4 linked regions of the Struthio camelus genome follow. The protein of the gene in region 3 purifies or fractionates together with the protein of the main gene of each other region. This does not show direct contact. Links are inferred from orthologs where the notes say so. Each region holds a gene or a part of one and is shown on either strand. Other genes may lie near its edges. The genes, in order: PHLPP1, ARHGEF6, NHERF2 and KCTD5.

The links.
Region 1: the proteins of NHERF2 (region 3) and PHLPP1 purify together in Homo sapiens (affinity purification with mass spectrometry; 3 studies listed by BioGRID and IntAct, with this or other methods). This does not show direct contact. The link is inferred for Struthio camelus from reciprocal best matches to the Homo sapiens genes NHERF2 and PHLPP1.
Region 2: the proteins of NHERF2 (region 3) and ARHGEF6 purify together in Homo sapiens (affinity purification with mass spectrometry; 3 studies listed by BioGRID and IntAct, with this or other methods). This does not show direct contact. The link is inferred for Struthio camelus from reciprocal best matches to the Homo sapiens genes NHERF2 and ARHGEF6.
Region 4: the proteins of NHERF2 (region 3) and KCTD5 purify together in Homo sapiens (affinity purification with mass spectrometry; 3 studies listed by BioGRID and IntAct, with this or other methods). This does not show direct contact. The link is inferred for Struthio camelus from reciprocal best matches to the Homo sapiens genes NHERF2 and KCTD5.

The regions. Positions count from the first base shown.
Region 1 is NC_090943.1:92,380,758-92,388,662, reverse strand, and holds the start of PHLPP1 (PH domain leucine-rich repeat-containing protein phosphatase 1), read right to left. Parts: upstream 3,007-7,905; 5' UTR 2,810-3,006; coding exon 1,432-2,809; intron 1-1,431. UniProt on the Homo sapiens protein: Protein phosphatase involved in regulation of Akt and PKC signaling.
Region 2 is NC_090952.1:22,989,784-22,996,824, reverse strand, and holds the start of ARHGEF6 (rho guanine nucleotide exchange factor 6), read right to left. Parts: upstream 3,002-7,041; 5' UTR 2,933-3,001; coding exon 2,768-2,932; intron 1,798-2,767; exon of another isoform or gene 1,743-1,797; coding exon 1,659-1,742; intron 1-1,658. UniProt on the Homo sapiens protein: Acts as a RAC1 guanine nucleotide exchange factor (GEF).
Region 3 is NC_090956.1:2,049,820-2,056,732, forward strand, and holds the start of NHERF2 (Na(+)/H(+) exchange regulatory cofactor NHE-RF2), read right to left. Parts: upstream 3,017-6,913; 5' UTR 2,920-3,016; coding exon 2,710-2,919; intron 1-2,709.
Region 4 is NC_090956.1:285,252-292,715, forward strand, and holds the start of KCTD5 (BTB/POZ domain-containing protein KCTD5), read right to left. Parts: upstream 3,016-7,464; 5' UTR 2,909-3,015; coding exon 2,666-2,908; intron 1-2,665. UniProt on the Homo sapiens protein: Its interaction with CUL3 suggests that it may act as a substrate adapter in some E3 ligase complex. Does not affect the function of Kv channel Kv2.1/KCNB1, Kv1.2/KCNA2, Kv4.2/KCND2 and Kv3.4/KCNC4.

The sequences.
Region 1 (7,905 bases), on a different chromosome or scaffold from region 3:
GCTGAAGCAACTACTGACCACCTCTCCCACATTCTCTCCTGACTAAAGAAGAGCACTTGTTTAGCGTACTGTTCTCCTTCCCACCACACCATTAAAATCTCTATTTTACATTCACTGGTATTCACAACGGACAAGAATCTCAGTATTTTTGAGTCCTAAAGCACCAAAGTCTCAGGGCTCAGTCAAGAACCACGCTGCTAAGCCAGCTCAGCAAGGGGATGTCATTTGTTCCTACTTTGGTAGCACTACTTATCTTCGGCCTTATCTTCAGACAGCATGCTGTCCTGCAAAATAGGTAAATGTAGTAAGTATTTGAATGTATAATTGGACATTAAACAATTTCTCCTCTTCTTAGAGAGTGGCCAAGACCGTTTAGGAAAACAAGCAGTCCCTCAAGATTACAACAGGTATTCTATACAGACCAATTCAATTGGCACAGAAAGTATTTTTAAACCACTATAAAACTGCAAAGTGCTGCATAATTACAACGCGGGAACTAACTTTTCCACCTATACTCCCCGAATTCTGCACCACAAGCCTAACAGCGAGGCTGCCTTAAATAGCTTTCGTATTTTTACGATTAAGATTTGGATTAACTTGTTTCAAAGGCTATGCTCCGTATTGCCATACTTTCCTTTGCCTCCTGCCTTAATCTCGCTGTGAAGCCCTGCTACCCTAACAGACAGTTCCAGCTCTAAAAATTGATCACAAGTGCCAGCAATAGAGAAAACTAAGTATAGGATTTTGTTTGCAGGAAGGCATCACGCTCAGTTCAGGAGTTTGTGCACCCTGTACAATTCATTTCAGAAGTTAAACTGTGAGGATCTTCCCTTACATCCCTTCTCAATAACCCCACGTTGCCCTCAGCGCCGTTATTAAGCAATTTAAAAGACACACCACAGCAAACAGCTAGACTGAACCGTGAACGAGCCATCAGCATTATGCAAATGTCTGAAACGGGCTTTGACCTTCCGCCCTGAAGAGCGGCACCAACGCATCTATCTCCCTTCCCTGAAGAAGGCGACAGATTAAAACCGATTTAACCTCAAACGCCGGGCGTCGCTGATGGGAACAGCAAACAACCCGAGAGCAGCCTTCGTGACCCCAGCGCGCTACGAAACACCGGCCCTGTGGGGGCCAACGGGAGCGCTCAGGCAACCGGCAACTGCCAGCACCGCTAACGGCCCCGCCGCAAATCCGCCCCGCTCCGGAGCCGGGGGGGGGGAGGGGGGAGGAGGAGGAGCGGCGCTGCCCGCCCCGCACCGGCCTCGGCGCCTCCCGGCCGCGCCGGGCAAACCCCCTGCCGCCCTGCCCCACAGGCCGCCCCGCCGCCGCCGCACCAACGGCCCGGGCGCGCCCTGACGGTCGTTGTCCCCCCCTCCCGCGCGCCATCCCACCTAACGGTCGCCGCCGCCCGCCCTCCCCTTTCACCTGCGTAGAAGCGGATGAGGCAGCCGGTCTCCGAGTCCATGCCCTCCTCCTGCACCCGCCACAGGTCCCGGAAGCCCAGCTGGGAGAGGTAGTCGTTCTGGATCTGCAGGGGCTTCTCGTGGGCCTCCAGCCGCCGGCTGGTCTCCCCGTGCAGCTGCACGTACAGGGCGGGCGGCCCCGGCGGCAGCTCCCGCCCGCCGCCCGCCGCCGCCGCCCTCGGCGGCTCCCCCGGGCAGGGCTGGCCCCGGCCCGGCCCCGCACCTGCCTCCTCCCCGTCGGGGGGCACCGGCTCCACCTCCAGCTCCTCCGAGGAGGACGAGCCGCCGCCGCCGCCGCTGCTGCTGTAGGGGTCCAGCCGGTCGGAGACGCTCTCGGCGCTGGGGCTGAAGCTCTCCGTGTCGGAGCCGGCCGGCCCCAGCTCGCCCAGGAGGGAAGGGCAGGACAGCGGCGGCCCCGCCAGGTACAGCTCGCTCGGCGGCGGCACCGGCGCCCCGGGGCTGAAGTCGGAGGGCGCCGGGCTGGGCCGGCCGCCGGCCAAGTTACCCTCCTCGGCGCTGCCGCCCAGTGGCAGGCGGCCGGGCCGGGCCGCTTCCCCGCAGTCTGCGCCGGACGAGCCGCTGCGCGTCCCCCGGTGGCTCCTCGGCTTCTCGTCCGGCGGCGGCCGCCGCCTCTCCGCCGCGGGCTCGGGCGGTGCCCCGGCGGGCGCGGGGGGCTCGGCGGGGGCCGCCGCCGCCGCCTCGGGCGGGGGCTGCGGCGGCGGCGCGCCCGCCTTGCCCAGGACCCGCACCACGCTGCTGCCGCCCCTGTGGCCGAGCTGCTGCAGCCGGGCGGCCACCTCGGCCGCCGTGGTCTCCAGGGTGCAAAGCACCGGGCGCAGGTAGCAGTTCATGTGGCGCTCGTAGACGTGGACGCAGCCCCGCTGCAGGTCCCGCCGCACCCAGTCCCGCTCCGGGGGCTGCAACGGCTGCAGCTGCCGCGGCGGCTTCAACAGCAGCGCTTTCCTGTCCAAGCTGCGGGTGCCCAGCGAGGCGGCGGGGGCAGCGGCGGCGGCGGCGGGCGAGGAAGCGGCGGCCGAGAGGTTCCTCTTCAGCCTCCCCCTCCGCAGGAGCAGGGAGTTGGCGCTGCCGGCCCCGCCGGCGGCCGCCGGAGCCCCGGTGGCCGCCAGCGCCGCGGGGGGAGCGAAGCCGCCAGCCACCCCTCGCCGCCTCCGCGGGCCGCCGGCTCCTTTACCGTCCAGCTGCCCGGCCCCGCCGCTGCCCGACGGCTCCACGCTGCTCTCCGCCGCCTGACTCCTCCTGCCTGGGGAGCTACTCTCCGGCTCCCCCCGCCCGCTCCCCGCCGCCGGGGCTTCTCTCGTTCGCTGTTGCGCGGGCTCCATTGCCCGCGGGGCCGGGGATGCCGCCGCCGCCCTGCTGGGAGCGCCGCTCCACGGCCCGGCCCGGCCCGGCGCGGCGCGGCGCGGGGGGAGCGGCAGGGAGCGAGGCGCCGCGTTCCGTGGGGATTACGTAGCAGCGGGGAGCATTCCGCCGGTGCCGCCGCGCCGCGCGCTCGGCTCAGCCCCGCTCCCCAGCTGTCGCGAGCGCCATTAGGGAGGGAGAGGGCGGGCGGGCGGGCTCTGCCCTCCCGCGCCCCGCGCCTCATGAATATTTAAGCAGCCCCCGCCTGGCCGTTCACAAGAGCCGCCGAGCGAGGCAGGCTCGCGAGGGTGACGCCACCGCTCGCGCGGCGCGGCGCGGCGGGGCCTGGCCGATAAACACAACGTGACCGCGCCTGGTGCCGGGGGCGGCTGGGAAGCGTAGTCCAGAGCCCGCCCGCGGACTACGAGTCCCGGCAGCACCCGCTCCCCGCCGCGGCGGGGGGTTGCGCCGCTGAGCGCGGCGGCGGGCTGGGCTGGGCTGTCTGGCGTGCGCGGCGCGCTGCCGGGCGGCCGGGCTGCTGGCGGCCCTCACGCCGTGCTCCCGAGCGTTGTCCCCGGCGGGCGGCCGGGCGGCCGGGCAGCCTGCCGCCGCTTGCTGCCGCTGCTAAAGGGCGCCCGCCTGCCGGGCCGAGCACGTAGAGCCCTAGTGCGGTCCCGCCCCTGCTCTCCTGCCCGCCGCGCGGGTGGCGGGGCCCGCTGGGCTGCCCACCCTAGGACCGTCGTGTTTCAGAGCTGCCCGCTTGCCACCGCCAAGCTTCCCTTGCGCCTTGCTTCCTTTCCTAGAAGCTGTTCATAGGAGCTCCTGTGGGGTGAGAGCACGCCGAGGGGGCGAGCGTGAGGGCGGGAGTCCAGAACATACTGGAAGTCTCTTCACTTCCAGTCGTTGACCCTGGGGAGGTGTGCTATGCTGCGACTCTTTGCGGCACGGGGCTTAAGCAGTTTTAAAATTATTCCAGGACTTTGTCCCGTGCCTGATGATTATATTCCTCAAGTCTTATCAGAAGGTTTTGCAGAAAGAGCTGATCAAGGGAAACGGTATGGCCTGCAGCACTGATAATGAGACCTGTGGGCTGTCACCCTTCTGCTGTGCCTCGCTATGAACACCGGTGCTTCACAGTAATTGCTGGCTAATAGCCATCTGGCAACATACACGACATGATTTTACAGGTTCATTGACCATAGCCATGCCATTCTCTTAAACCTGACATATCTTCCTTATTGCCTGTCTCAGCTGAGCCTGAGCTATCTGCTCATCTGAGACAGTCTCTTCAGAGTCAAGATGTAAACGTGTGCGTGGGAGATAGAGATATATATATATAGATATATATTTGTATGTATATAAAGAGAGAGAAAAAGAGCTGCTTTGTGAGTAGGTGCACAGAGTTTGTGTGCTATTAGCCTGATGTGTTCAGGGACTGAAATTACTGAAAATACTTAATTTTTAAAAAATTGCTTAGTAGCAGCAGCAGTTGGGGGAAATGTTGCTATTTAATAACATGATTTTAAATGAATTACAGAAAAGATAAATTACAATCAGATAAATGCAATTAGCAGCTGAAAGCATGAGTTTTTATGCTGTAAGGACAGAGTATTCAGAAAAATCTCTTAAACTCATGGGGATGTTTTAGCTGAGTAATGTCAGTTGGATTAGGCTGTAGCTGCTTGAGATCTTTCCTTTTTAATTTTGTAAAACTGCAATGAAGCATCTTGCCAGATATTCATCAGAAATGCTATAGACTTCAATAAAGTGGGAGTTCTGGGCAATTAACCAGTTACATCAGTGTTAGGGGAGATAAATCTTCATCACTGAGAACCCTGAGATAAATCCTCAGTGTCAGTGAACCAGTACTTTTGGTTAGTTTTTTTTTTAGTACATACGCATAATATATGAACCATAAATAAACCAGAACCATAATAAAACTAAAGTTTATCTCTTCTAATAAAACACTCCTCCACCCTTGCACAGTATTGTCTTCACACCCTGTATGAGTGGGTTAAACACGTCACAGAAAACAGAGTTATTCCCTAAGGAACCTACAACAGAATGTACATATATAGAGAGTTGTTATTAAACAGCTGTCTACCTTTTAAGAGATTTTGTAATACCGAGGATCATGTTTTACCTTTATATGGAAACCATCCACTTTGTGAACAGAGCAATCTGTAAATTAATTGTTATGTTGTGATCCTGCCGTTCGCTCGTCTATATCTGCAGTTCCAGTCACCAGCAAAACGTCTTTGGAGTTCTTCCTGCGCTAGATAGCCAGAATCACATCCCAAACATAAACTAACAGAGGGTGATGGCAACACTTGGCCGTAAAAGGATTAAACTGATGCCCAAAAACTCCAACGACGGTAGCAGTACATGCTATAAGAGCAGCACTGAGCGTGTTGCAGTCTGATTCTGACTGCTTCGTACGTTCTCTTCAATTTTTTCTGCTGATTTCACAGCACCCTAATGCCACCAGTTTCACTACAGTTACTCCAGGTGTCTTGATTTAAGTGTGTGAGAATAAAGGCTTACATGCAAACACACACAGATACACTCAGCAGGAGACAGTAAGTTGTAGATACACATGTTAACAGTAATAACTCCTTAAATGTAAATAACATAAATAAAAGGGAGCTTCTAGAAAAGTTTGCTGCCCTGGAAGGAAGTTTTGTTGCTATTTTGCCTTGGAGGAGATAGGGAGGGAGCAGGGAGAGAGTGTTCATAGTTAAGATTGCACTAAAAAAAATCCAGAACACAAGAGATTCTCAGATATTATTTAGGAACATAGAACTGGAAAAGAGATCTCATGGGGACATCAAGTTTTCTCCCTTATGACTGCTGATACCGCATCCCATAGTGCTGCGTGTTTGTGAGGTCTCCCTAACACTGTAGATTAACTTCTGGCATATCGTTTTGAAATGGGCTGACTTGATTTGCCATCGAAATGGAAGACAAATGGAAGACAGTGCCCTAATGGCTGGGAACTTTCTTCCCGTTTTCAGTCTGAATTTACACATGGGTAGCCTATACTCATTTGTTCACAAGCCAGTATTGCCCTTTGACTCAAATAGCTATTTTTCACTTCACTCCCGTCAAGTATTTTTCCCCCAATGTACTTATAGGCAGCAATTGTATCCCCTACCAGTCTTCATCTTTGTCTTTGTCTGACAGACTAAACAAGGCAAGCTCTTCTCATCTCCTCTGGTGAGATAGTCTATATAGCGTAAGAACACACAGCTAAGGTCATTTAAATAGCCTTGGATCAGATCCTCGGTGGGGTGAACTGATAGAGCTCCTGCTCTGATTTACTCTGAAGCTTTCTCAGTCCACGCAGAGCAGCAGCAATCTGCAATACAGCTCTGAGAACTGGCGAGCGACTGCACTGACCTCACTCTTCCTGTTGCTAGGCTAACTTACCACTGCCAGGGGCCTTGCTAATGAAGAGCTTTATGCAATTAAAAAACAAAGTAGTGGTACTGAAGTCCCAAGGGTGGAAAATTGTTGGAATTATCACTGCTTTGTGAAAACTGTTCAGGAGCAGAAGGCTACAGTGAGACTGCCAGCATCCTCTAAGACCTGAGTTGTGCCATCAGGAGAAAAGAGACCACATTGTAGCTCTTCATAGTTTTCTGAATATGAAAGCAGTGGTTTCTGCTGTGACTCTACCTGTCCAAATGTCAGTGGTACAAAGCCAGGTTATTTCTACTTTATGCAGGGAAGTGTTTTTCATCAGCAATGTCTTCCTATATTTTCTTATATATATATATTTGTGTATTTGAAATCTGTAATTGTATGCATATTCAAAGTGAACTCCCAGGCGTATGACAAAACTGTACTATTCACTGTTTTCCAGTAACAGATAGTTTCTAATTCTGCTGGAATGGTGAATTTTGATATAGATTGACCGCTGCTATAAGACATGTGAATTGAGCTTAGGAAATTGATTTTTCTCAGGAGGAAGTGGAAGGATGAAATACACATTTCCCTTTTCCAAAGTTTGATTGACGACGGCTGTTTGGAAAAAAAGCAAAATGAAACAAGATGATTTGCAGTCTTGAGTTTTCTGACCAGAATCTGGCAATCTTGAAGAAGAGTTTTCTGTAAACAAAAAACTAAGGAAAAAAAAAAGAAATTAGCCACAGATTGCTATAAATGCTTCCATACCAAAACTCTTTATATCGAATGAACAACTTATACGCTGCCATGGATAATCTGCTAGGAGAATGCCAAAAGGCCTGGAAACCACAAGATGACTTTGGTGGACTTTATTAAATATACGGTTATCAGAGACAGGGAGATCTCTGTGCAACAAGAGCAGACCAAAGGTTAGGTGAAAGCTTCGCAGATGCTGGAGTTGCTGCGGTGCTTGCTGGCTACCCCTCCGCCAGCAGTTAGCCCAGCTACAGTGGGAGACGTCAGGCTGCCATACGCCCTCTTATTGCTCAGTAGCAACCATAGAGCTGATTGAGTGAATAACTGTAGTGGTGCTTGGAGTACATTAACTCCTATTTTACTACTTATAAAATCTGCAGGAGGGCAGCCTCCCCTGTTTCGCACAAATTCCCATAAAGCCCTTGGGGACACCCTGTGCTGTTACTAGATATTTCTACAGGGCAAGGGACAGATTATGGGCATCAGTTGATCTCTGTGGTTTTACTTTCTCATTGCAAGCGTAGAGGAGTGGACCAGGTCCACCTTCGGTTCATTTTACTGCAAGTTCTGTTCTATATTAACATTTTACCATTTCAGTTAGTGTAATCCTGGCTATTAGCTACAATTAATAGTTAGCTGGCGGGCAATTCAGTGACACCTTACTGCTTTTCTCTGTGTTTTCTGAAATACTTCCAGCTGTCATGGGATAGTACAAACTGCATACAGCTTTTGTGGAAAAACACTTTTTCAGTTTTACCATGAACTATTTTCAAACGGATTTTTTTTTTTTTTTACTATATCAAATATGCAATGATTACCCAGTCTGATTTTTATTTTGAAAGATATCGTTTCAAAATAGTGTGACCTCAGTAAACAGGAATTGCTTAATCCCCAGTCCTTGACTATAGAAAAC
Region 2 (7,041 bases), on a different chromosome or scaffold from region 3:
TCACTTGGTGCTCTAATATGACTGTTACTAATATTTCTGGTACCATGAAAAAACAATGAGAAATTATTTTCATTTGGCTGCAAAATTTAAATGCAAGCTTGAGAGATTTGAGCTTTTATTTAGCTTTAGAGGTCTACTTTCGATTTGAGCTTTTATTTAGCTTTAGAGAACTGAGAAGGGGCAATCACGTGCACTATGAAAGTAACTGAAGGCTCAGAGTATTTCAACGATTACGGGGCTTATAAATCAGAAAAACAAAAATTTGGAACTCTTTTCTTAAAATAAAACCAAGAAAGAAAAGGAACAAGTACGATCAGAGCTGCATCCAGGGCTGGATGCAAAATATTGCCCATCCCTAGTATTTGAAAATTGTGAAGTGGGGCTGCAGTATTTCAGGACCAGATTAAAAATTATGAGATTTTAAAGCGTGACAGAGTTCAAGACTGTTCCCTTGACTTGTATTTTTGCAGTTTGATTCCTATTTTTAGTGTTTTCCACCACAACAATTATGACTAGATCTATTTTTTAAATAGAAAAATAATCTCTCTGAAAAACTGAAAAAAAATCACATGGTCAAGTACCAGAAGACTGGCAACACTGATTTCTGATCTGATAGCCCTTCAGTGATTCTATATGTGTCTGCTCTTAAAACTAGGCTGCTGCAGTAGGCTTTTAGCAATGGATTAGTGGGAAACAACAGGCTAGTTAAACACTTCTGGAATGAAGGAATTTTCATGCCGGCTAGCTAAAAAGAGAAGAGTGTCTCTTTTTGCTTGTTTAGACCTCCAAAGGAAAAGCACAGCAACAGGGCTGCCATGGGTTCGACCCTCTCTCACTGTGGTGCATAATTTTCTGTAATGCCCAAGGATGCTGTTCCCTACTTCTAGCGGAATTTATCTTCAGAATATATATATATATTTTTTGTAATGTGGATAAAACTTCAAACAAGTTAGTGACAGCTCTTAGATACAGGGTCCTTTTTACTGTAGAAATTTAAGGGTTATATCAAAGTTTTTAAAAACATTTTAAATGCATGTGCATTTGTAAAAATATAACGGCAAAATTATCTGAACTCTTAAGTGATGCATTTGGACTCTGTTCTTGTAAATACGAACGATGATTAGGCATAAGAATCATACAGCACCAGGAATAGCCACTGAAAAGTTATCTTTTGTCTACAATAGGATTATTTGTATGTATAAGGACCACTTCATATGACGTATTTGGCAGAATCTCTCTCAGTGCTTGCAAATGGATAAAAATACTGCAGTATTAAGAATATTTCACCTTTATACTAAAGCAAGGCTAAAAATGGCAAGCCCTTGTGGGGGAGGGAAAAAAAAAAAAAAAAAAACCAAAGCGGTCAACACAGCTCAACTGTGTTTAGACAGAATTTCTGTTATCGCTGTGTATATTTCTATGTGACTGTTTAGATTCCTCTCAAAGTCTTGAAGGAATCTGTTAAGCTCACAGTCAAAACACTCCATTTCCAAATTCTCCAGCCACAATATTACATTACCCACATTCTTATTCACGTTCCCGATACAAAAGATTAGGAATGACTACCTGCCCCTCTGGTATTTGGCTTCCTTTTAGAATATATATTAAACAAGCACATTATGAGAACAAAATAATGTGAAGGATACTAGTTGACTTACCTCCACTTTAAAAACTGCACAGCCTTTTAGGAACTCTTGAATATTACTGATGCAATCAGCTTCATTTTTAGGCTCCAGACAATACTAAAGAAATAAAATCCACCAAGATCACTATGTTACCTTCTGCACAGCCTCTATTCAGAAGGCCTGCATGAATATTGACATGTGCGTTTTATATTGAATTAGGGAAGCTTCTTAAGGGGGCGGATGGGGGTGGCAGGCAAGCTGTCGAACCAGGAAGAAAGAGCCACCGGAGGAAGTGATGCATAAATCGAAATGGTCGGCATCTTGTTTTGAATGTCAACATACGACAGTGCCCTAAAGCGATAGTGGGAAACTGATGACCTTTAAGAATGCACTGCCCCAAACCATCATATATAAACAAGAGATAAGTAGCTAACAAAAGTGATTTTTGCTTTTTAAACAAAGGCACCTATTTTACAGGGTGGGGACGAACCTGCTTCTTCCTTTAATTAAAACAGATTCTCTTCTGTGCTGCCATTTCCTATCTCTCATCACACTCCTTCCCCTTTTTTCCCCACAGTTACTTATCACTGTTTTGGACTGCACACACATATGCCTAGCAAAACCCTAATACAAGGTTCTCAGATGGCTTAAACTGCTTCAACATAAACGTATTTGCTTGACTTGAAACAGTTCAAAATGGCACGGATGCAAGGTTCATTTACTTCTAGCCTCATCTTGCTCTCCCCAATGTACTTCCTGAATAGCAAGGTATTTTACAGTGACAGTTCCAAACTATATTTACTTCTATAGAGACAAACCACACATCCATCTGTTCAAAAATAAGGTGTTTTTTGACTTTTGGTAGGCCTAGTATTTCCTCTGCCGCTGAAAGGAACACCTAAGTCGCCAAACTACAACCTTCTGGGTTTTTGTGGATGTTAAAGAGAGAAAATCAAAAACCGAAAGCTAGGATCCTACTTTACCCTAAGTTAGATTTAACTAGTAACTTAAACATGTTGATCTTGCTGATCTTCCTCACTCATGCTACCTACCAAAGAAAACCATATCCTATAATAAGCAGTGCACTATTTCACCAAACAGCGCTCTAACTTCAGGCTAGTGAAACGTATCTAAAAAGTTACCTTTTCTGCAGATCCTGGAAGAAGGCGATTAATGAGTCTACAAAGCACTATTCCATCTTTCAGAGAAGTTTTCAGGAACTCCTCTGGATCCTCTACTATTTTCTTGGGAGAATTCAAAACTCCTAATGAAATAAGCCATGTTACAATTTGCTCTTCTGGATTCATTGCTGAGAGTTCTGCCTTCACTGCACTTCTGTGCAACAACTCGCTCTAACCCACATCCGTGATTACATCTTCCTGCCTCTTCTGGCGCGTGCAGGGCTTAAGAGTGAAACGACTTTTTTTCACTGGGCACTGAAACTCACTGAATTTTAAGAACCAGAACTATAGTTACTCTAAGGTAGGAAACGTCCTTGTACAATGGTTTACAGAACTCTGTTACTTCAAAGGGATATAGTGAAAGCATACCTACTACACATTTTCAGCATTTCTGAAAACAGAAGTATTCTGTGCAGATACTTATATTGTACCAAGGTCTTACCTAGTTACTTTCTCCTTGTGACAGATGTCATTCTACAACCTGGTAAGCTTGGTCTTGTGGCTATTGTTCAACAAAGTAAAGGTCAGTATTTCCTAGTGCACTGCAATATTTACAGTATTAAAATTGTATGTTACACTACAGATGATTTGGGGGGAAACATGCCATGCAAGCTTTTAAATAAAATTTAATTTTTAACTTTCTGAGGTAAAGTCTTCATTTTAAATCACTGCCATTTTACAACAGTTTTCCATTTGCAAAATCTGATTATGATTCTAATCACGCATTTGTCAAAATCTCATTTTTTTCCTCAACTATTTTATACAAGAAATAAACATATAATCCAAAATGTTCTTTTGCAAGATTACCATCTGTCAAAGCAAACATCTTGGGTAACTGTGAAAACTTCATAAACCAAATTTAAGTCTTTTTTTATATGAAGCAGAGAATGAAAATTTCCAACTATTTTACTTGTCCCATTAAAGCGTCCCTTTCTACAAGCTCTCTACAGGATCTACTGCATGAGGATAGAGTCGTTTTAGGAATTTTTTACCCTGCTCTAGGGTAATATTAGCCAGCACTACTGGTGATGTTAATTTAGTAGAGTCCAGTCATCTCACAGTTTTCCAACTGTCCTTTCACCAACAGACAGAAAACTACCATTTTCTAACCAACTCATGACTCCTAAGAAGTTAACTAGAGCAACAGGGATAGAAAGCAATGAAACAGGAAGAAGTAACTATCCTAGAGACCAAAAATTCTCTGACAATGTTCTAAATGATAAATCAATTCCTGAGCCTGTTGCTTGAAGCAGCTGGTTTCAAGACATCAGCTCTCTTGAATCGCTGAGGCTTATAATTTGAGGTGTAGGGAGAAAGAGAAGAGCAAAAGGAAAAAACTACATGCAAGGTATGTGTTGTTTTGTGTCCCCACTTTCCAGGTCCTACGACTGGGACATACCTAAGGATCATTTTTAATAGCTAGTAGTAAGAATTCAGAACTGCCCTTTTAGGTTTAGAGATTTTTGGCCACAGGATGTTGGGATGAATTCTGTTTTATATGAAAATACTAGTAACACTAGCAGCTGCCAGAGTGAATGGTTAACACTGACTGAAGCTAAATCACAAAACTCACTGCCATCTGGTAAAGTTCATCTATAGCTATCCGTATGTGCAGAAAAATTTACTTGAAATTTATAATTAGAGACCCTCAAAACAGTAGGCTTTTTTAAAGTTCTCATGAGCAGTACTATTTTGTTTGTGGAAGTGCATACTTGCACTCTCCACTTTCAGAGCTTGCCTTTTCTCAAATCTATAGTAGGCAAGATAATTGGCAATGCTCATTCATATACTGTGGCCCACCATTCTCAAATGGAAGACATCCACTCCAGTATTCTTGATTAGAATCCACCGGCTTCTGATGTAGAGCACGAGAAGTACTTCAAGGAAGGGAAAAATCCACACCTGCTTCATTAAACGCGGTACTACAAACCTGAACGCCAAAGAATACTTTGCTCATTCCCCCCTCCAAAACAAGTATCTAACCTTTCATTTTTTGGCAGACAGTCTTAAGAGTTCCATGCCTGTTCTGCATCCATCAGTTGCAACTATGATTAAATGAAAATACCTCTGACGTGCTGGACACGTACCAACAGCTCGAAAGACTGACCCAGAGCCATTTGCTCTCTCACACATTCAGAAAGCCCCCAAAACATATGGTACTCTAACTACTTTGAGGCCAACTTTTACATCTTTCAGAACATCAGGATCCCACTGAAAATGTACCGATGTTTTCACCTCTTCTCACTGGTGAAGTAATTCTGTGGCAGAACCACGGGTATCGAGGTAGATCCACAAAGTGAGGAACAGTTTCTTGTTTGGTCTTTCTTTGGAAAAGTTATCATCTCTGATCTCAACATTAGCTATCTGCTGACAGGGACAAATCAAACGAACTGTCAATCTTCTCATGCAGAGTCAACCTTCACCCCTAAGTTACCAATAAACTTCTATTGCAGTCTGATTCAGACAATGACTGATAATGACGATAGTATTAGCTTTAGAAAAGCATGTTGGTCTACAATCTCCTTTTAAACTAGAGACTTTCAAGAACGTAATTTGAGTCAGCGCATAAGCTAATGGGAATGCAGCACCAACATGATCTATTTACCATGTTAGGCAGACGTAATTTTTGTTCATACAGTAGCTCGTGTGCTGGGATTGTATTTTAGGCAGCCGCAGCCAGACGATAAACTACGGCTAAAAAGGCGTCTTTTAATAGCACAGCATATCACCATTCTTGAAGAAATGAGGTGCATTCTCTAAGACCTCTTCATAACAATAAACTTCCATTACTGTATAATAATGGTAACTATTTCCACCACGTACGTGTAGCTAAGAAGCAAGGAGTTCCTTAAACAAGCTAATAATGCTTTTGTTTAACAGTAAGTTTATTAGCCCTGGAAAATAATGCAATTCTGTCCATCGCCTTGCTACATACAGGAAGACGCACTCCCTAGAGTTTGCAGTCCATAACTGAAGCTCAAAGTGAGAGTCTTACCCCAAACCCAAAGGCAGTTTTAAATTCTTTCAGTAAGAAATGCATGTTTTCTTTTTAAGCTAATCCTTATAGACTAGGTGTTGTTTAAATAAAATCAGTTTATGTCTACAGTACAAGAAGTCAATATAAACTTTATTAGCCATGACTGTGTAAAGATTTCCATCAATCTGTAGTTAGCTTTATGAAAAAATGATGACTGAGGATTACTCTCGTATACATTGGCACATCAACACTTATGAGGGTATGAATGCACCAAAACCTAGGTAAATTAAGAAAACATCTTGTTTCTATAGAACGGCACATGTATAAGTAGTAGTAACGCTGGCTGGAGTTTTTCTGAATACTATTCTGGGGATTTATCACAAATATGGTTTTATCAGCACTTCCTTCCTCCCATCAAAAAGGCTTGAACAGTTATACCACTGTTAATGTAAAAATGTCATACAACTTTTATCGGTCTCTTTCTTTGTGAAGGACACCCTTTTCCTCTGCATTTTGGAGGGCTCAAACTCACTTTTATGAAACTTGCTCCTTTTTTAGCACACAACAAAAGCACCCTATGTGAAGAGCACCGCTGGAATGTTCTTCTGCTGCACAATCCACTGATGCATGTATACTGACTAAAAAAAAAGGGCTTACTACTTAGAAGAGGTTAGCTGCAGAAACAGCAACTGGTTTCCACTTATCTGAGAGCTTACATCCAAGAGATAAGTAGCACTACTTTCAGATGCAATTCCTGAATGAAACACAGCCCTCTAAAACAAATACTGGTCAACATCGTACTCAAAGCCCAAGTTTTATCTGTTGTATTTTGTTATCCTTCGATTTTCCAACACATCTCCACTGCTCCAGTGCCTTCTTCCAGTCCCCATAACTGAAAAGAGGAAAGTCAAGTTAGTACACTCTCAGAAACCAGCAGACAGACAAAAAGGCTAAATAATCTTTGAGTTGATCAATGTATTTATACATGCACAATGCAGACATTTGGGTTGTTTTCAATTTGTGCCAAGGGTATGAAAATACATCAGTACTTAACTACAACAATCGAAACAGTCTGAGGTCTACCTGTATTCCTATTGTACAACAGCATCTCCGGGGGGAGCACCAAGTAATTCCAGGGTACATCCCTTCAAAACTGCCACCACAAAATCCCACTGGCTCTCCCATAATAAACTGGTATGCACATACGCACATCTGTAAATAACGTTGTGGTGTGAACTGAATTAAAAACGCAATTATT
Region 3 (6,913 bases):
GCTGGGAGCAGGAGCTGGGCCCGTCCTTGCTACTCCCCAGCTCCCGGCTCGGCTGAATGGGGACCATTGTCCACGCACAGCCTCCGTTTTCTATGGTTTTTGTAGCTGGCAGATGCTCTGAAAGGGGCTCGCGGTGTCAGCCCAGCGCGGCGGGAAGGGGCGAGCCTGCGGTTCACGCACAGGGAAGCGAGAGCTTTCCCACCCTGCGAGTCGCTCCCTGCCCCGGCTCGCCCCGCGCACGAGGGGCAACAGCCCCAGAAGGGCTGGGAGGCAAAACCATGGGGCTGAGCCAGGGCAATGGGAATGGGGCAGGTTAAGGACATACATAGGAGCAGGGCAAAGGCCAGCGAAACCGCTGCCACGACTCCCTGCCAGCAGCCTCGGTGGAGAGGCTCCAACAGGCTGAACAGCACCTTCCTCCTGCAGGAGCCTTCATCCTGCAGAGGAGGAGGAGGAGAGGTGGCTGGGGGGACAGATGCTGGCCCCTGCATGGCACTCACTCCCCTCCCGCTCACCCACGGGGGGATCCCGGCATCAGCCGCCCCACGCAGGGGCTGTCCGACCTTCCTCGACAGGCAGAGCCTGCCGCGGATCCCAGACGAAACACAACCCCCTTCCTGCCAGCATCACAGCTTGTGGCGCGCGCATCCGCCCCAGCAAGCGGACCCCGGAGCCACGGCGCTCCGGGTGGCCCAGGACACCCCACAAAGCTGGGCTGCGTTTCCTTACAGGGCTCCTGCTCTGATCTAGGTCACGCCAGCCAGACACGTTACCATCGCCAAGGTTAGAAGTGACAAACGAGCCTAATGTGCAATTAGTTAGCAGTTATTTACTCCCCTGCATGCTCCGTTCAAGGTCAACAGACTCCGTATCTGCAAATGAAAAAACCAAGGCGAGATTTATAGGCCGCAGACAAGGCTGCTTGTCCTGAATAAACGACTGCACTGAATGCCGAAAACCATCTCCCTGCACCGTACCGGACGGCAGCTTGCCCAGGGCTCCCATCCATAACCGACCTGACGAGATGCTATTCCACCGAAGCCCAGAAAATCCATCTGCTCCTTTTCAGCTCCGTTTGCACACAGCAGCAGCCGCCTACGCTGCCGACAAGGGCCAGGCAACACCATTGCGAGGCCATTTCTCCTGCGAGGGAGCAGGCACGGGGCGGCAGGAGAGGTGCCACCAGGCAGCGCCTCGGGGGTGCACGCAGGAGAAAGGCAGCTGGGTGCTGCGCCACTGCGTCCCTCCCGCTCTGCCCCCAAACCATGCAGCTGGGTCCTCCAGGCGCTCATGCGGCAAAGTCACCAGCTGAGAACAGGGTCACACAGACCACGCCAGCTCCTGGAGGGAGCAGCTGACCCACTGCCAGCATGGGAACTCAAGGGTCAGGGATTTCGGATGCTGTCCCTGCATTGACCCCACTATGGGGAAGCTGAGCGCTGGGTAACGCCGTGCAAAGCCACGGCATGAAGCAAAGCGCTCTCCTGCTTGGAGACCCCCAGCTCAGTTGCTAGTGCTCCAGCCTGGCACGGCACGAACTGCTCTGCCAGCAGACGGTGCATCGGCACCAGGGCAGGGAGGCACCCACGGGTCCCCAAACGCTTTCCAACCCACTGCTGCCTCATGGCAGCAAACCCTGGAAGAGAGGGACCAGGCAAGCGCTGGCCAAGGCCTGGTGGGTGAGCTGCCGCTGAGCGGGGCACGGAGCAGTGCGGGCACACCAGCCACAAGTCGCTCCAAACCAGGTGCAGCAGGAGCGGCGCCAGCATCCTCGAGCCCAGCTCTGCTCCCGGCAGCACCGTTCCCGCACCTCCATCCGCACAGACTGTCACCCCAGACTGCACCAGCGGCACCAGCGTAACTGAGCCGGCCGGCGTCTTTCCACCCTTGCCAAACACCAGCTGCCTGGTGAGGCGGCTTCACCAGGCGCCGCTCCGTCGCTCGCTCTCGCACAGAGCGAGCCAGCAGCGTGCAACTCGCCCATCCGTGCAACGGCTCCCGGGGTGGACCGAGGGCTTCCCCCCAACCCTATCAGCACCGCGCACACCCCACAGTGGTGGAGATACTCAGACCCAGGAAGGGTTGGGCTTATCTGCAACCTCCACCTCTGCCGAGAGCACATCAGCCCCGTCGCTGCCAAAGCACGGCCCCGCGCGGCCGAGGGGCTGCAGCAGGAGGCCCGCGCTCCTCCGAGCCGAGGGACAGGCACCCCCGTCCGGCACTGCTCCTCCAGCAGGATGACAAGGACCAATGGCACCTCTGGAGCCCCTGGGGACCAAGCCCTCAGGCAAGGGCCGCTCCAGAGGCGCACAGCCCTGCTGCCCAGCAGGCCTCTGGGACAAGAGCCAAACACCCAGAAAACACATTCTGCTTTGGAAAAAAAAAAAAAGCAAAACAAAAAAAGGCAGAGCAAAGATGCAAATATCATCAGCTTCAGCCCAAAACAGCTGCACCAGAGCAGCAAGGCCTTGCCCACTCCAGGGTCCATCCCGGGGCAGCTCCGGGGGTGTCTGCAGGAGCAGCGCTTGCTCGAGGCCAGGAGGAGGAGGAGGAAGAGAGGCCCCAGCAGCTCCCCCAGCCCGGCCTTGGCCACGCTCGCCCCCGGCCGTCCCGGGGATGCTGCGGCAGCAGCTCCGGCCCGGGAGCAGGATGTTAACTAACTTAACGGGGCCCGCGCCGCCGCGGTCCGGGTCCGGGTCCGCTCCCCACCTGGTGGTGCGTCTCCTGCTCCACGTTGAGCCCGTTGACGGCGACGACGCGGTCGCCGGCGCGCAGCCCCGCCGCCTCGGCCGGCGAGCCCGGCTCCACCTTGCGGATGAACTGCCCGCTCTTGCCCTTCTCGCCGTGCAGGTGGAAGCCGTAGCCGCTCTCCCCCTTCAGCATGTGGCACAGCCGCGGCTTCAGCTGGTCCTTGGCCATGGCCGGGCGCGGAGCGGAGCGGGCGGCGGCGGCGGCCGCGCGGCCCTTTTATGTGCGGCGGCGGCGGCGGCGGCGGCGGCGGCGGCGGGCGCGGGGCGGTGGGCGCGGCTGGGGGCGGCCCTGCTGCGCGCTGCCCCGCCCCCAGCCCGGGGCGGGGCTAAGGCCAGGGGGCGGGGCTAAGAGTGGGGGCGGGGCTAAGACCCGGGGGCGGGACTAAACCTCGGGGGCGGGGCTCAGGGCTGGGGGCGAGGCGCGGCCACGCTGCGCGCTGCCCCGCGGAGCCGGGAGCGCAGCGCCGGGGCGGGGAGGGGGCGGGGCAACGGGATGGGGCGGGGCTAAAGGCAGGTATGGGGGCGGAAGGCTAAGGGACGGGGGCGGGGCTAAGTGCCAAGGCGGGGCTAAGGGGAGGGAGCGAGGCGCGGCCACGCTGCGCGCTGCCCCGCGGAGCCGGGAGCGCCGCGGAGGGGCGGGGGCGGGGCTGAGGGCGGAGACGGGGGCGGGGCCGGGCGAGCGACGAGGCGGGGGGGGCCGGGCCGGGCCGGGGTCGCGGGGCCGCCCGGGATGCCCGGGACACATGGCGGGGAGATGCCCGGGGTGCACGGAGCGGGGCCGCCCGGGATGCCCGGGGCGCACGGCGGGGAGATGCTCGGGGTGCACGGAGCAGGGCCGCCCGGGATGCCCGGGGCGCACGGTGGGGAGATGCTCGGGGTGCACGGAGCGGGGCCGCCCGGGGTGCCCGGGGCACACGGCGGGGAGATGCTCGGGGTGCACGGAGCGGGGCCGCCCGGGGTGCCCGGGGCGCACGGTGGGGAGATGCTCGGGGTGCACGGAGCGGGGCCGCCCGGGATGCCCGGGGCACACAGCGGGGAGATGCTCGGGGTGCACGGAGCAGGGCCGCCCGGGATGCCCGGGGCGCACGGTGGGGAGATGCTCGGGGTGCACGGAGCGGGGCCGCCCGGGATGCCCGGGGCACACAGCGGGGAGATGCTCGGGGTGCACGGAGCAGGGCCGCCCGGGATGCCCGGGGCGCACGGTGGGGAGATGCTCGGGGTGCACGGAGCGGGGCCGCCCGGGATGCCCGGGGCACATGGCGGGGAGATGCTCGGGGTGCACGGAGCGGGGCCACCCGGGGTGCCCGGGGCGCACGGCGGGGAGATGCTCGGGGTGCACGGAGCGGGGCCGCCCGGGGTGCCCGGGACACATGGCGGGGAGATGCTCGGGGTGCACGGAGCGGGGCCGCCCGGGATGCCCGGGGCACATGGCGGGGAGATGCTCGGGGTGCACGGAGCGGGGCCGCCCGGGATGCCCGGGGCACATGGCGGGGAGATGCTCGGGGTGCACGGAGCGGGGCCGCCCGGGATGCCCGAGGCACACAGCGGGGAGATGCTCGGGGTGCCCAGGACCCCATTTCTCTCCATGTCTCCGGAGTGGGAGAGGTTCCCACTAGGATCCTGGGCTCCTTGTCAACAGGGGCCGTGGCTAGATCTCCTCACCCAATACCTACATAGCTTCCACCGAACGCTTCGTGTCCTCCATACGCTCCGGCCGGGGCGGATGGCGTTCCTCAGCATGCGGGTCCAGCGTTTCGGTTGGAGATGCAGCGACAGGCCCTGCTATAGCCCGGACAGCCTCCTGCTCCGTCCCCAGCGCGCCTGACAGGCGCCGGCCGGGCTGCAGCATGGCGCGAGCTGGTGTTGGTGGGACGCACAGGTTCCCCTCCTCGCCCTTGTACGTCCCTGATCGGCGTTTCCTTGAAACCGCTCACAAGGCAGAAACGAGCCGGAGGAGAGGCGCTGCGCCGACCGGCCGGCCCAGCCGGAGCGGCTCGTCCTGCTCCTCTGTCACAGCGTGTCTAGCTTTACTCCGTGGCGCTGCTCCCTCCCCAGCTGCTCTCCAGGCAGATTTCTGTAGAGCTGAAGCAAATGCAACAGCCAACTTGAGGCTGCAAATAAAATACTCTAGAGATGAACGTTGATTTGCTTTTTAATTTGCGGTCTATTAAAAAAAAATATTTCCACTGAAGCTGTACATGAAGTAACTCTTGGTCTGAAAGATGTTTGAATCGAGAAGATGCTTGCTAAGTGTCTTAGAGGGAAGGTGCTGTCCTGGAGTGAATGGCATCACGTACCTCCGTCAAGAGTGACCAGCCAGATGCCCTGTGCTCCGTACGGACTTCGCACGTAAGGAGACGGCACAACAGCGGGTATCGCTGGGACCAGCGAGATGGTCACCGCGAGCGCTCGGTGGCCTTCGCTGAGGGCAATAGGACCACCAGGCAGGAGCGATTTCAGCGCCCGGCTGCGGGGTCAGCCCTGGCGCTGCCTCGCCGCCCCTTGCCGGGAGGTTTCGGCCGGGAGCGGAGGCGCCGGGGGAGGCCGCCGGCCGCCTCCGCCGGGCGACACGAACGGAGGCCAGAGAGCCGGGAAATGCGGCGATTATCGCCGTGTACCATGAGGACCCCCCGAGCTTCTCCGCGGAGTCGTGCAGCCTTTTTATCAGCCGAGGTGAGTGCGAATAATTGATTTTTCCGCTCACTGGGCAAACTGAAAAGCTGGAGGGAAGGGGAGAAGAGAAGGAATTGTTTCCAGTTTGTTTGAACGAAAACTTTTTTTCTTTTTATTCAGTGCAAAAACAAAAACCACAAGGGAGAAAATCTTTGGGGTGGTCAATCAGAACGGTTTTAACCCGTTTGAACAATTCTTTAAAAAAGTGTTGGTAACCTGCAAAATAAAAACATGGAAAAATACCATTCCAAAAACGTGAAAATGAAATTTTTGAATTTTCCTAAAATGCTTATTTTCTAAAGCAGAAGCTCTTTCTCAAGTCTTGTCTGAATTTGCTGCTTTCCCTTCTGTCCTTGTCATCCTCAAAAGGCATCTTTCCCCCCAGGAAACATCTATTAACGACAGAGAAATTAAGCAGGGCCAGCAGCCTGCTCGGTGCTGGGCGTCACCTGCCAGGCAAGAGGACGCAGCCCAGCCTTGCTGCCGGCTCTGCAAACTGCCCCGAGGAAGACTTGTGCGAGCCTTCCTCCCCGCGCGTTGCACTGCGCCCGTCAGCGGGGCAGCGTTTCCCAGGCTGCTCCCGCTCGGAGGCGCCCGACGCGCCGCGGGGTGACTCGCCCTCCCTCCTTGCTGCTCTAACCGCTCCTCCTCTGCGCGGCACGGGGACGACGCGGCCGAGCGCTGGTTCAGCCCGGCGGTTTTGCGCCTCTGCTTCCAAGCGTCGACGCGGTCTCCTGGGCTTTGCAAGCCGTGCTTTGGCATGGACGTGGCTTGACGAGACACGCTGTGTTTTGCGCTGCGGTCGATGGGAAAGCATCCAGTGTCATGTACGGGAGCTGGGAAGAATGTGGAAATATGTTGTGCGAATATGCATCCTCGCGCAGCACAAAACCCCTTTAATTCGCGAGAAGAGCTTGCCGTTTCCTAAGCAGCGTCGGCTGGACTCTGCAGCCGCGCAGAGAAAAAGCAGAGAGCCCATCAGGGCTTCTGCACTTACCGATATACCAGAGTCATGATTAGATTCAACAGATACTGCAGAAGTGAGGGGTGTTTTTTCCATTTAGATTTCTATGCGTTTTGATTTGGGCAAATATTTAAGTCTTAATGGGGCTAACTTGAAAGCTGAGGAAGTTTCCCGGCTCTGCATGCTTATTGGCTTGGAAGAATGTGCAGCTCTCTTCATTTGACATCTGCTCCAAAGCAAACAGGTTCATTTATAATTCATTCACTGCACTTTATTAAGCACTTACATAGAATTACACCTGTACGCCGACCGCTGCTTGCTCTAGGCCTGACAATATTCCCTAGCTAATGCAAAATACATACGCTGTGCAAAGTTTCACAATTACAGAAAGTGGGCTTGACCGGCAGCCTCCCTGCGGGGGAGAGGCCGGGATTTTTAAAGTTTGCACAGCAAAGTCTGACCTCATTCCCTGCTTCAGAAACTGCCCTCCCGAGAAATGAAAGGTTTCGCACTCGGCTTTGGGCCG
Region 4 (7,464 bases), about 1.8 Mb from region 3:
TGGAGAGAGCACCAGAATACCATATTCCCGTTCTACATTTCAAATCAGCTCCAGTCCTGTTCCACTGTGGGTTCAACAGGCTACTCACAAGTACAGGGCAATGCAATTTGTTCGCATCTTTTTAAACCGGTTTCCACCAGACCTCTTTATTGGCAAGAAAAGAGACACCCAATAATATCTGAGCAGCTCAGATAAAGTATAGACATCTTCCTTGTAAACAGAGCTACATCTTCCTGCACCTGTGACTGCAACCGGTTTTACGTTACCACATACACTATTAAAAACTATAGCCTATTTAAGTCCAGAAATATGAAAGGAATACATCAGGTTTCTCCATACCCTACCAAATAGCTAAATAATCTTAGCATAAATGTATCATTTGTTGCTACAATCCACTGATGCAAACACCGTAGAAAGAAAAAGGTTAGAGATTAGTAGCTCCATACAGTTTTGCAAGATATAAACACTTTACTGACTATTCTTGTGAAAGACGATTTAGTCATCAACTGATGAAAAAAGTCTGCCAAAATACCTTAATTAGGACTAAATCACATCTTCTAAAAACGTGCCTAGTCTCTGAAGACATCAAGAGGTAGCAAATCCACAGCTTCTTCTAGTGGATTAACTGAAACACGTGCCTTAACTATTAAACGTGTTATTTTTTATTTAAGAAACCTGAGAAGAAAGCTTTTGCTTTTCTTCCCAAGTTAAGACAGTTGTTGACTCTAAGCAAGTCACCTAGATTTTTTATTTCTTTTTATAGGTCAGTTTAAGCTAAGCCTCTCCAGAAAAAACAAACTGAACCAAAACAGAAGTAAAAAAAAACAACCCCCAAACTGCCATACCGTGAGGTATTTTTTCCATAACTCTGGAACATTATTTAGGCTCTGTTCTATATTTTCTCAAGTGTTTCTAGATCTTTTTTTAGAAGTTAGGCATGGGAAAATGAAGAGATTTACTACTGGTCTCACTTAAAAAAAATAAAATACAAAGAGAAATTATATATCTAAAAATCATCTCTTTATTCTTCATGTGTTGTTTATCTATTCAAGGATCACAAGCTGTTTCTTTCTTTCTCCTAAGGGTGCTACACTGGAAGTCCACTTTTAGTGCAATATGCTCTGAAATCTCTTTTGGAGCCAGCGCTTTCGAAGATGGTCTTCTGTTCTACTAGTATATTCTGTATTCTCTGTTCCCAGATGCATGACTTTGCATATCTGTCTGTCCCGGAACATATTTGGTTTGAAAAGACCCAGTTTTCTAAGCAATCCTGATTGTTTATCTGAAAGCTTTATATCCGTTACTACACGCCACTCCATACATAAATTTTTAATCAATAGCTTTTCTTTTCCTAGTAAAAAATGAATCAGAATCAATACACAAATATCACCCCTGTGATGCAGCCCATACAGTATATATAATATTCCACTCAGAAAACCTGCTGAGACACAGAATGCTACAACCAACTGAGAAAAGTTATTCTTCTAACATGCTGAATTCTAGCTTCATGCAGTATTCTTTAACAACAAGCAGAGAGATCCATACAGAAAAGTAGCTTGATTTGGTTCTTCAAATCGAACTACAGTGATGACAGTGCAGAAACAGCATGACATCAATGCTAGCATACACTCCACTAAAATGCTAAAACTAAATCCATAAGGTAAGTCAGAAAACCACAAAAATTAAATAAACACATAAACGATCCTGAGCTCCCTTTGATATGTCCGCACGTATGTGACTGTGTTATTCAAGAACCAAATCAGTCTGCAAGAGATCAGCCCATACCCACCCTCCAAATAAAAATTCCTTGAAGTACGTGGGCTCGTTAAGCAATGCTACCCTTCAGAAACTCCCCCAGCAGCGGCAGAGCTACAGCCCGGAATACCTGCAGACCGAGACCCGACCGCGCTCTCGCAGGACCCAGCTCCGCGCTCCCCTCTGCTGCTGGCAGCGCTCCCCGCAGGAAGGCGGCCCCGCGCCGCCGCCGCCGCCCGGGCTCCACGCGGGACCGCGGCCGGGGGAGCGCGGGGCCGGGGGGGGAGCCGGCGGCGGACGGGCCGGCCTGGGGGAGCTGGCTGGGGGCCGGGGGGAGGGAAGACGGCGGCAGACGGGGCCGTTGGGGAGCCCGGGGCCGGCCTGGGGGAGCCGGGGGCGGGGGGGAGCCCGGGGCCGGCCTGGGGGAGCCGGGGGCGGGGGGGGGAAGACGGCGGCAGACGGGGCCGTTGGGGCGGGGGGGAGCCCGGGGCCGGCCTGGGGGAGCAGGGGGCGGGGGGGGGAAGACGGCGGCAGACGGGGCCGTTGGGGCGGGGGGGAGCCCGGGGCCGGCCGGGGGGAGCAGGGGGCGGGGGGGGGAAGACGGCGGCAGACGGGGCCGTTGGGGCGGGGGGGAGCCCGGGGCCGGCCGGGGGGAGCAGGGGGCGGGGGGGGGAAGACGGCGGCAGACGGGGCCGTTGGGGCGGGGGGGAGCCCGGGGCCGGCCGGGGGGAGCCGGCGGCGGGGGGGGGAAGACGGCGGCAGACGGGGCCGTTGGGGCGGGGGGGAGCCCGGGGCCGGCCTGGGGGAGCAGGGGGCGGGGGGGGGAAGACGGCGGCAGACGGGGCCGTTGGGGCGGGGGGGAGCCCGGGGCCGGCCGGGGGGAGCCGGCGGCGGACGGACCCGTGCTCACCTTGTCCGAGTCGAGGTCGGGGTCGGCCTGGCAGAGGCGGAAGAGGAAGGACTTGGGGTCCCTGCAGAGCGTCTGCCGAGTGGTCAGGAAGCAGGTGCCCCCCACGTTCAGCCGCACCCACTTGCCGGGGACGGCGCCGGGGGGCGGCGCGGAGCTGCAGCGGCGGCAGGGCGCGCCCGAGCCTCCCAGGCTGAGGCCGCCGATCGGGGGCACCGGGAAATCGCAGTGGTTCTCCGCCGCCATTCCCGCAGCCGCCGGAAGCGCCGCCCCAGCTGCGCCTCCCACCGGAAGCGCCCCTCGGGGAACCGCTCCCCTCCCGCCGCCGCCGCCGCCGCCGCCGGCCCCGCCCCCGCCCCGGAAGCGGCGCGGCGCTCGCCCGCCCCCCCCCGCCGCCGCCGCCGCCGCACGGAGCAAGGAGGAGGCGGAGGCCGGCCCGGACCCTACATGCCTTTATTACAGACTACCGAGCATAAGTGAAATCCATCATCCAGTCACTAGCTACACATGTACAGCACAGAGATCTGTCGAGAGGAAAATAAACAGTCATTAAATTATGAGATATGATTAAATCATCGACCAATAGAAAATTTATATAATAAAGCCAGAAAAAAGGTGTAAAATATAGTTTACAATAATTATTCACATTCAAGGCTGTACATCAATACATACAACACCATGGCCCCGAACATGAATTCAATCCAAATAATTCATATATTAGAATTTAAATAACATAGACTGAACTAGAGGCCAACAAGAGCCAGCAAATAACCTTATAAGAATAAAAATACAAAAGTGTGTATCTTATCATTGCAGTATCTGCTTCCATTTTCATATGTTCTTGGGGTAGGGGAATTGTGTGTGAGAGGGAGAGTGGCTGTTTGGGGGGGTGGGGATTTTTTCCTTTTTTCTTTTTTTTTTTTTCCTTTTTTTTTTTTCTCCTTTTTTGCTTTACCTGTACATCACAGTTACAGCTACAAACCAGGTAGAGAATATTATACACATAACTGACTGCCACCAACCTGAAAAACACTAGCATACAACTATCAAAACTGATTATGGTTCCTAATTTTTTTGTCAGATACAGCAATTTTAAGTTCTGCCACCATTCAGAACATTTGCCACATCCAATCAGAGCTGGTACATGGTCATAGGATGTTTTGTCAAGTGGTAACCATCCAAATTCACTGCCATGCAGACAGACTAGGTTACTGGGTGCTTAAGAACTTCACCATGTTCACTGTATAAAGTCATATTTCTTAGGAAAAAAAATGAACTCCTCAATTCATCACGGTCCTCATCTTAACTGAAAATGTGCCATTTTGGGTCAGAGAATTACTTGCCTGCAAGCGCACTTGATCAACAGATGGACAATGTGTGTCATGAAGCTTTGCAGGAGGAACAACTCCTTTTGATTAATAAAATATTTGCCTAAAATACTACAGGCATTCAGTAAAACTTAATATATAAATACCACACCTATTTGTGTAATTCCCTAGTAGAAAGAATAATCAGAATCCACAGACCACATCTTTAGACAACTATTAATACACAAGTTTTTCATAGATGAGGTGTTCAAATTAAGTGTTCTTTCATCCACAGACCAAAGGAAGTTGTTTTGACTTTGCTAAATCATTCAGAAGAAAAATTCATGTGTGGAAAATCCCTAGGATTCTTTAAAGCTCCCAATACAAAATTTAGTAATGTTAAGCACAGTCATTAAGCATGTTGTATTATGAAAGTGGAGTAGATGCATCACATCTTTTTTCAACCTGCTGAAGTTTTTCTGGGATTATATATAGCAGATACACTTCACAGTTAAATCATGGTAGGAGGAGAAAAACAATCAGTGGAGCGCAGTACTATTTGGTAGGTTATGGTGTCTTCAGCATCTACTGCTTAGCAAATGACAACTTATTAGCCCGGGTGGCTAATAAGTCATAATATAATAAGTATAATAATTAGTCTGCTCCCACTGCTTTGCCATCACATCTGAAGTTGAAAGAGGTACAAAAGTCATCTTCAAAGTCCAGTTTTGAGCAGGAAATATTTTAAGGACAGTGGCAATTGAGTAATTTCTCCATTTTTATCAAAGAAGTTCCAAACTTTCCATGACTGGGCTAGAAACTGAACAACGTGGCTCAAAAATCCTTTCTAGTAGTAGTACTTCAGCCTTTAAGCTCCACCCAATACAAAAACGATGCAACAACCACTTTCCTGAACTTCGAATCTCAAACAAAACATGAGTCACATCATTAACCACCAAAATCTTTACAAATGATAGGTAAGTGTTCAATTTGCACAAGACTGAATGAATTACGAGACTGCTTTTTTTAATAGGGTTGCAGTGAGGAGCCTGAAGAGTCTTTCAGTGATTAGCAACCTTTTTCTGCTCGGAAAGACCGCAGATTAAGAGCAGGGAGAGTAACTTGTTTATCTGCAGCTTTGAAAAAATCTCCCTCTTGTATTTGATTCCATGAACTCCCATGAATCACTGGAGTAGTCTTCAAGACAATGATTTGAAATTATCCCATTCTTCAATTATACACATCTAAAATAGGAACTAGCCCTTCATAGTATGCAGCACCTTCCAATACACATTTAAGTGGGCAAACTGATGAAACTTACTTAAATCCACAGTTGTTTGTCTTGCCTCACCCTACCCTTCCACCATCTTCCAAGAACTACAGCTTTCACTTAAAGTCAGAGAAAGGCAAACACCTCTCCCAGAAAAGCTTCTGGTCCCTTCCCAAAAAAGCAGCAGTTGAGGAAGACTCAATTCAGAACATTAAAGTTCTGAAGGGAAGAATGCCTGTAAGAGAGGCTCACAGTTTTCTAATGATGCCATTGTCAAAAGAAAAAAAAAAAAAAGAAAAGAGAAAAGGAATACTAGAATACAAACATCAATTTTCCAGACTTCTGCAGCTTACTGCTGTCAAGATTTCTTTGGTTGAAAGTTTTTGGGGGCAGGGAGGAAGTAGACAGAGGAGTTTCTTTTACGGTATGAAAAACCAAAGGAAGTATTTTGTTATGGCAAGATGACTGCACATCTAAATGTTATAGAAAACATGTCTGAATATTTTTAGATTTCCACATATTTAGCTGAAGCTAAGGCCAGTGGAGATCACTCTAGTTCCTACTGAAGCTAAGAAATTCACTAGTAGCAGAACAACTTTGCCAGAGACTCTTGGAAGCCAAGTTTTGGCACACTGAACAACTGCAGTAGCATCATGAAACTCCATCACTGCCAGACTCTCCAGTATGAAGTTGGGAATATGTCTATATCTCTATACCAAAAGCTAAATCCAGAATCTGTACAATTCCCTCTAGTGGACCCAACTTACAGGTGGAATTCAACAGCTACAGAACAAATGGGTACCACCACCACAAACTCAGACTGCATGTCATCTTGGTTATGATGATAACTATAGGTTTAACAAAAGGTGTACTGCGCTATTCAGATTTCACTGGCGAGGAGTCTGCCTTCTATGTGGTGAAATTTCTTATGATGGAACGTGAACGGTCTGTTTTTCTTATCTCGGACACCTTAGCTCCCCTAACACCGGGCACTGTAAGCTAGTGATTTACTTTTCTCAAGCCTGTGTATATGGTGGGATAACATAAAAGACAACTGCAAGAATATAGTTTCACCAAATGAAAAAGCAACTGCACTGTCTTCTTTAAAGACCGGAAGAGACTAAGAACTGAACTGTCATCAAGCTTAACCACACAATACTTTTTTTTTTTTTTTTTTTTAAAAAGAATGCACAATAAACCTCCCTCTCCCAGTACAACAAATAAATCTAGCTTTCATGCATTTTCTGAGACATCTGATAAGCCACAAAACAGCAGCCTGTGAGTTTTCTTAACATTACAGCTGAACTTTTTTCTTTAGTGGAAGGAAAAAGCACTTCATAACAGACCTCAAGAGGCAAAGAGATGGTGGTATTTGCAGAAGATGAATAAATAGGTGTGATGTTTATACTGCTTTTAAAACAAGGAAGGAATGCCTTTGCCCAGACCTGGGTCATCCCTCTCTGCAACGTTCAGGGACATGGGTGTGTTGAAAACACCATTAGGGAAGTCATTTTAGCATGTAGGAAAAGTTGTCTTTGCTACATTGCAAGAAATGTTTGACCACAAAAAAGCCTTAATTTGAAAAGGATAAAGGAGACTGATATGAAAAATATTTTCATTTTATAGATATGCCTTAAGTACCATACATTTTCCCCTTTGTATTAACATTTTCATTTGAATTTTCAACCATTCAGATTACTGTATGGGTCTAACACTTAAACTGTTTAAAACTTTTTTCGGAATTGCTAAAAGGTCTGAAGTATTTGCCCAAAGACCAAAAATAGGATTATTTGTACATCTCATTATACAAAGAGACAAAAATCAAGTAATCAATTGTACAAAGTTTTCACTCTTCCTTCTCTACCCAGGTAAATAGGTTGGCCCCACTAAAATGCACAATACATGCACACCCTGGAAAGAAAGCTTCCAGCCCTCATCTCCTGAAAAGGTGAAAAACTATTTTACTACTTCAACAGTAACTTTTTTTTTTTTTTTTTTTACACTAACTAGTTAATTTTTTAGTTAGCATTAGTTAAAAGCATGCTGGTAAGTTTATTGTCCCTTGATTAAACACACGTATGCATCAAATTAAAATTAAAATTCAAAGTTTAAAACTTTATATGCTTCAGAAGCCAACATTTCAATTTTAGAAAACTTTCAGTGCCATGTTCAGCATTTTACTCTCTCACAACCTGTATCATCGGAGTCCATCTGCCAGACACATA